2 linked regions of the Macaca fascicularis genome follow. The main gene of each other region encodes a partner of the protein of the gene in region 2 in a complex. Links are inferred from orthologs where the notes say so. Each region holds a gene or a part of one and is shown on either strand. Other genes may lie near its edges.

Region 1 (3,820 bases), on a different chromosome or scaffold from region 2:
TTATTGATAAAACTATAAGCCATAAGTTATCAGTTTATTTTACTATTAAACAGAAAAGTACATAAAACATAATGGCAATACCAGCAGACGTGATACTTTCTTCCAAGTTGCATAATGATTTTATTTGAGAGCCTAACCAAATACAGAGCTCTGAAAATTCAGGTGAAGATAATCCACCCTCTGCTGCCTTCGTAAGGGCTTGCTCTTCTAACAATGGTCCTTTATACCTAGAAAGGAAGAAATACCAGTTAAAAACTAAATAAGCCAATCAAACAAAAAAGCTTTCAATACTCTGTGTCAAGGTCTGCTGCTTGTTTTAGTAAATAAAATGTTATTGGAACACAGCCATTAAATGTATTAATCCACAAATTAGCTATGGCTGTTTCCACACTACAATGGAAGAGCTAAGTAGTTGTAACTGAAAATGACCACTACATGGCCTTTTAAAGAAATGGTTTGCTGATTCCTGCTCTATATAATTAACATTTAGCTTTTTTCCTACATTTTAACATTCCACAGTAAAATTATCTACCAATTTTAAGATAAATTCCACAGATATCACAAAGTCAAATACAGCATAAAGTCTAATAACCTTACATTAATTACAATAAAAGTGTGGTGGAAAAAAGCACAGATACAAATTACAAATTTAAAAAAGCTAAAGTTGAAAAGAACCTATTAGATCATTTTAATCTAAACCTTTTATTTTATATTATTTTATTTATTTACTTATTTGTTTATTTTTGAGACAGGGTCTCACTCTGTCACCCTGGCAGGAGTGTAGTGGCACAATCTGAGCTCACTGCAATCTCTGCCTTCTGGGTTCAAGGGATTCTCATGCCTCAGCCACCAGAGTAGCTAGGATTATGGGCACCCGCCACCACACACAGCTAATGTTTGTATTTTTAGTAGAAAGGAGGTTTAGCCATGTTGGCCAGGCTCTCCTGAGCTCAAGCAATCCACCCACCTCAGCCTCCCAAAGTGCTGGGATTACAGGTGTGAACCACCGTGACTGGCCTCATTTATTTATAATTTTACACTTTTAAACATTTCTGCAAGTTGTATTTCACAAGAATCTTAAATTTTCAAAACACTTTATATACTATCTTAACTAAATTAGATGATCAGTTTTCTACTTTTATGGTTCTTTTTGTAACTGAACTTTTGTTAACATTATAACCTCATAGATAATATATTTGATGTGTTTTCATCCATTACAGTTATTATTCTTTTGATATTCAAATTCTTCTATGTCTGATTTGTAGTAGCCCATTTACATAGGCCAATGGAGCCCTTTGTCTTGTCCCCCGTACTCTCTGAATACTTTCCTTGCTTTCTACAACATCATCTTCCTGCCTTAGACTTGGAATCAGGCATTTCTCCAAGGAGCCCCGATTCTTTTAATGGTATTTAGAGTACATAATCTGGTACCAAAGGTTGGGCACTGTTTCTATGCCTTTTTCAGAGAAACTATATTAGGAGTTCATATTGCTATTTCCAACTGGCATTTAGAATTGTAGGGGTTTTACTTATTTTGTTTTACATTTTTATCTTCTCTTACAATAACAAATCTTGTTTTAATTAACATTTACAAATTCCTAATATATATTAAAATAGGTATAAATTACATATGGCTTCAGAATAGGAAATCTAGCTTACTACCAACAATAAAATTACAGTTTAATTTTTTTATATTTACAATGTATTCCTGTAAGGATATAGAGAAAAACCATTCCCATGTGATTAAACCACCTACTTGATACATCAATAGACATCTGTTTTGTTCAGCTTTTAATTTATAGGGATTTGTTTCTTTTTATTGCATTTTTGTCTTATAATTATGTAAAACATTAATGCGGTTTCAAAGCCTAACTTAAAAAACAAAGTACTTCAGAAAAATCTAGTTTGCAATTTTAATCTTGTATCCTCTACTCTGTTCCCTCCCTCCCCTCCAGGTGACCATATTTATTAGTTTGGGATTGTCCTTCCATCATGTTTTTCAACATAAATATATGCATTTTTGTCTCCTCTTTCAGATAAAAGGTAGCCTACTATATACTGTTCTAGTCCTTGCTTTAAACACATACATGCTCACACACACATACATTTACATTAGTAGAGATCAGTATTTAGAGATATTATTCAACCCTTTTTTACAGTTATATACTACCCCACTGTCTGGATGCACCATATTTTATTTAATCAGCATCTACTAAAGGACACTTGGACTGTTTCCAGTGTTTTATTAATATAGTTCAGCAAATTTTTGTCAGTTTATATCTAGGATAGATTCCTAGAGGTGAGGCTGTTGGGTCAAAGGGTAAACAGATACATAACTTTGCTAGATACTATGAAATTCTCCTGTAGAGGGGTTGTACCATCAAGGCATCAGAGTACCCATTCCCTCATCATTCACCAAAGTTGTCAAACTTTTGGGGTTTTGACCATCTGGTAACAGTATAGTTTTATCTACATTTCTCTTATGAGCAAGACATAGGGCATCTTTGCATATGTTTAAAGGCCACTTGCATTTCTTTTTCTTTGAATTCTCTGGTTATATCAGATGAAGGGTGAGTACAGGTATTTTCAAATCCTCATTTTGTAGGTAAAGAAACTAAGACTTCATGACATTAGGAAACCTGCCTTTATGTAGCAGGCCAGGCACAGTGCTAGGCATGCATACATATATATGTTTCATTTAATCTTTACAGCAATGCTTTAAGTTAGCATTATCCTAATTGTGTAGAATCAGAAGATGGCACTAGCATTTAAATCCACGTTTAACCCAAATGCTCCATCGTTAACATAGGTCTTGTTAGACCTCTATCTACAACTATAAGGAAACTAAGGAAAAAACCTGGTCCAGCTGATACAGCCAAGTAAAGGCAGAGCTGAGACTAGAACATTATTTCTGCACCCCCAGCTCAAGGCTGGTTCTTCTATGACTCAGCCTTCCTCCATGTCTTACAATGCCTCTCAATGAGATTTCATAGTAAACATCTTAGATCCTCTTACTTGCTTTCATTTCTGCAATAAAGCAATACTCATAAACTCTTGAAAGAATTTAACTAATTCATATTGGTGTAAGTTTTTTTTTTTAACTGAAATGTCAATAATAAAAACCAACAAAAACTGGTCAAATCACAAAAAATTCTGAATTTGGAAAAAAGATCTAATCTTTTAACGCCTTAGCTCATCAGGTGAAGTAAAAATAAAAAGAGGAAAAAATAAATGCATTTAACATACCTGAACATCTAATTAACAATCAAAATCACAATAGTGGCTAACATTTATAAAGTGCTAACTGTATGTTGGGTCAGCACTAAATGATTTATATAAATTCATTTAATTGCCACAATACCCTATAAGGTAGATACGATTATTAGCTTCATTTTACAGATGAGGAAGCTCAGGACGATACAGGTAAATAATTCGTACGGGATGGCCATGATCATAGCGAACAATCGTCCCAGAACCGAGCCACACAACCTCTCTGTACAGCCCCGCACTCTTAGCCCCTATTGTTCTGTCACCATCCAGAAATGTCTTATGCAACAGAAGTGTCTCAAAATATTCTGCTAGATAACTGAGTAAGAATATGAAAGCACTTTTCTGGCTAGAACAGTGCTTCTTAAACTTTTATGTGCATAGGAATCTCCTGAGGGTCTTATTAAAATAAAGATTCTAATTCAGTAGAGCCGGAATGAAGTCTGGGATTCTGCATTTCTACTCCCCAGGTGGTGATGATGCTGCTAGTCCACAGACCTCTCTTAAGCAGCATAGCACTTATTTTTTTACTTTCATTTAAAAAAAAATCTCT
Region 2 (4,274 bases):
GGTTGTGTGCTCCCTATGAGAATCTAAAGCCTGATGATCTGTCACCCCCATATGGGACCACCTAGTTGCAAGAAAACAAGCTCAGGGCTCCCACTGATTCTGTATTACAGTGGGCTGTATAATTATTTCATTATATATTACAATGTAATAAAACTGAAATAAAATGCACAATAATGTAATGCACTTGAATCATCCTGAAACCATACTCCCCTACAACGCCCATTGGTGGAAAAACTGACTTCCGTGAAACCAGTCCCTGGTGCCAAAAAAGTTGGGGACCACAGGTTAATGAGCTGCACTGCATAACAATACTATCTGCCTAGTAAGAAAAACTAGTAACCCAAGAGAAAAAAAAATAACCCAAGAGAAAAAAGGGCTAAGAATATTAACATACACACCCCAGTATGGGAAATACAAATAGCTTCCAAAACACTATAATATGTTCAACTTCACTTACAATAAGAAAAATACAGTAAGTATACTTTACAAATTGGAAAAGGCCAAAAAGTATGGTAACGGTAAAAGTGGGAGGAAAGAGGCACATTCACACAATACTAGTGAAAGTATAAATTGGTACAACTTCTATAGAGAGCAATTTGGCAATAACTGTCTAAGTTAAAATATCCTTTTAAAAAACGTATGAGTCTTAGCAACGGAAACAAAAAAAAACGCACATATCCTTTGGCAAAGCAATTTAACTTGGAGAACTTGATTCTACAGATTCACTTGCACATGTACAAAACAATGGATGTACAAGTGTATTCACTGCTGCACTGTTTCTAATACCACAAGAGTAAAAATAGCCTAAACATCCATCAACTGAAAACTGGTTAAAGTAAATGCTAGAACATCTAGGTATGTACATGTAAGAAAAAGGTAACGATGACTGCCCTATAGAGGGGAACTAGGTGGTTGGGGATGGGGGCTGCCAGAGTTACTTTTCACTGCGTTACGTCACACTTTCTGAATTTCGAATCAATATATATGACTTATTAAAAATAATTGTTTTTTTTGAGACAGAGTCAGGCTCTGTGGCCCAGATCTGTCACCCAGGCTGGAGTGCAATGGCGCAACCTCAGCTCATGGCAACCTCCGCCTCCCGGGTTCAAGCAATTCTCCTGCCTCAGCCTCCCAAGTAGCTGGGATTACAGGCGCCCACCAACATGCCCATCTAATTTTTGCATTTTTAGTACAGATGCGGTTTCACCATGTTGGCCAGGCCAGGCTGGTCTCAAACTCCTGACCTCAGGTGATCCACCCGCCTCAACCTCCCAAAGTGCTGGGATTACAGGCGTGAGCCACAGCATCCAATCTTTTTTTTTGGGGGGGGGGCGGGGACAGTATCCCTCTGTTGCCCAGGCCGGAGTGCAGTGCTGTGATCTCAGCTCATTGCAACCTCCACCTCCTGGGTTCAAGCAATTCTTCTGCCTCAGCCTCCCGAGTAGCTGGGATTACAGGCGCCCACCATCATGCCCAGCTAATTTTTGCATTTTTAGTAGAGACGGGGTTTCACCACGTTGGCCAGACTGGTCTGGAACTCTGACCTCAGGGGATCCACTCATGTCGGTTTCCCAAAGTGCTGGGATTATAGGTGTGAGCCACTGCGCCCGGCCTATATTTTAAAATTGTTTTTAAGTGAGAGAAGGGGATATGCTAGGAGGTATGCCAGGTCCAGAAAGCACAGAGCCTAGAATACTATGGTAAATAAGTAGATTTTACAGAGAGGACAATGAGAAATTAATGAAAGTTTTTAAGCAGATAAATAAAAGTCAGATTTGTGCTCCCCAAACCACAGCTACCTTTAGGGATGACAGCTTAACGTTTAATATAGAATTTAAGAGACGAAGATAGGTTATGTGATTTGCCTAAAGTCACTAAGCGAATAAATGGCAAAACCAGATGGGCGCTGCAGCGCGGGCTATGATCTCTTCATTGCACTCCAGCCTGGACGACAGAGCGAGACCCCATCTCTAAAAACATATATATATATATGTATTTTTTTTTTGAGACAGTTTCGCTCGTTGCCCAGGCTGTAGTGCAATGGGACGATCTCGGCTCACCGCAACCTCCGCCTCCCAGGTTCAAGCGATTCTCCTGCCTCAGTCTCCCGAGTAGCTGGGATTACAGGCATGCGCCACCACGCCCAGCTAATTTTTTATTTTTAGTAGAGACGGGTTTTTTCCATGTTCGTCAGGCTGATCTTGAACTTCCAAACTCAGGTGATCCGCCCGCCTCGGCCTCCCAAAGTGCTGGGATTACAGGCGTGAGCCACCGCGCCCGACGTAAAATAATCATTTTTAAAAATCACAATCATAAATGGCAAAACCAGGTCTTTTTGCTAATATGATCGAGGTGAAACATCAAGTTAGAAATCCCCTAATTAGCTTTCCGAGTCCTCTAACCTGGCACACTCTTATCTCACCGTTGGGAAATACATGGGAGTAACAACCCTGCAAACGCCTGAAAATATGGTTATCTTTAGAATTTACGAAGATAAATGTGATTAGGCACATGTGAAAGAAGTTCAAGAGACTGTAAATGAGAGAGGCCAGGTTTCGCGACTATTAAACCAGGTGGCTTTTTCCTTCAGCATCCCCAGGACAAGTACGAATGAGACTATAACACCCGGCACAAATGGGATCACGCTTGAAGTACCTATGGGGCAAAGGAGAAAGAGTAGCAGGAAGCTGCGGGTAAGGAGAGAGGATGCCTGTGTGCTCACATCTAAAGAGAGAAGTAAGCCACCTACTCACACTCGTACTTCCTATTGACTGGCGGATACTTGGCCTTGATCGCCTTCTGTTCCTCAGTCAAATTGTAATCTCTAACATCTTCCTCCTCCTGCGCCATCACTGCAGGATTAGACACTCTACTTCCGCCCTTCATCCGCCGGACTTCGGCCCGCAGTTACTACTTCCGCTCTAGACCCCGCCCCTGAGCACACACCCCTAAAGAACCACAGTCCGTTCTCGGAGTTGGCCGCTAACCTGCTTTAGTCCCGACCCTGTTGCTTGGATCACATGTTTAAAAGGCCAAAACCCCATCTTCTGCCCTCCCTTCATTACTAGTTCCTTCTCAAGACTAAGGGAAAACGTTGAAGGGCACCTTGAATGAAACCCCTCTGGCTCTGAGTGGCGAGGTTCTTTTCCCCGCCTCACCCCCAAAATTTATAATTAGACCCGAAGTCATTCTATATTTTTCATCTCAGTACTCTGAAAGGGTTGTAAGCTTAACAGCCTTCAAGAAAATGGCTGCCCTCGGGCCGCGGGAGTGTGTGGACTAAACCTCTCTCACGTGACCCTGGCCGGGCGCAGTCCCGTCAACGCTGTCGCGCGCAGTCGCTAGAAGTCGGCGGCGGGAGGTGTTGGGGGAGGGGCGGAGCGCGCGCCTCGGTCCCCGCGGAAAGCTACTCCGCGCGTCTGGATAGGTCGCAAGCGCGGCTTCCCCGCCCTTCCCGCCGTTAGGAGCGCTCCGATTGGCTGATGTTGGCGCGAAGGTGCGCGAGTCGGCCCTCGCGCTGGGGGCGCAGGAAACAATAGAGGCCGCGCGCGCAGAGCGAGCGCCTGCTGCCTCCCCGCCCCTCCCGGAACGCTCGACCCTAGGGTTCCCCCGGCTCGTCTGCCCGCCATGGCCGACAAGGAAGGTGAGGGTTCCGGGGCCGCCCCAGGAGGGCAGCGGGTGCCGGGGCTGAGCCGCGGCCTCGACACGGCCTAACAGTGAGGGCAGGCCCGAGTTTGCCGAGTGCAGTTCCCGGTACCGAAGGCGTGAAGAGGGAACTCCCCGCGGGGCGGGCTAACGGCTCGCGGGTTCCCTGGGACCGACGTCCGTCGCCGCTGGCGAAGCTGGCGGTGGGGCTCCCGGCGGTTGTTTGTTCCTCCTCCTGCCCTCGATATCGGTCTCTCGGCCTCTGTCCCGAGCCTCGGGACACCGCTTTCTACCCACAAGGCTCGGAGCTCGGGCCTTCTAGTCGGGCTTGTGAGTTTCAGCGCGCGCGAGCGTGCTCCGAAGGCCTGGCCCGGTGGCGTGGAACGGGTAACGGAGTGTTTGGCGGGGATGCCCCGAGGAGTTCTGGCGCCGCGAAGGTGGAGAGGAGTGTGGGTACCTCTGCCGTGGGGATTTAGACAAATCACCTCCATTTCAGAGTGAGGTTGTAGGAGTCATGCTGGTAGCTTTGCAGAGGATTACCCAGTTTCCGTTTGTTTGCTAACTTAATTTGTTTTAAAAATTTTTAGCAGCGTTCGACGACGCAGTGGAAGAACGAGTGATCAACGAGG

Evidence for each region.
Region 1: ZBTB8OS (region 2) and FAM98B share a complex: the UniProt entries of both Homo sapiens proteins name them as parts of the tRNA-splicing ligase complex. The link is inferred for Macaca fascicularis from reciprocal best matches to the Homo sapiens genes ZBTB8OS and FAM98B.

The regions. Positions count from the first base shown.
Region 1 is NC_088381.1:14,971,265-14,975,084, reverse strand, and holds part of FAM98B (protein FAM98B), read right to left. Parts: intron 228-3,820; coding exon 82-227; intron 1-81. UniProt on the Homo sapiens protein: Positively stimulates PRMT1-induced protein arginine dimethylated arginine methylation.
Region 2 is NC_088375.1:202,362,405-202,366,678, reverse strand, and holds the start of ZBTB8OS (protein archease), read right to left. Parts: upstream 2,899-4,274; 5' UTR 2,887-2,898; coding exon 2,754-2,886; exon of another isoform or gene 2,750-2,753; intron 1-2,749. UniProt on the Homo sapiens protein: Component of the tRNA-splicing ligase complex required to facilitate the enzymatic turnover of catalytic subunit RTCB. Together with DDX1, acts by facilitating the guanylylation of RTCB, a key intermediate step in tRNA ligation.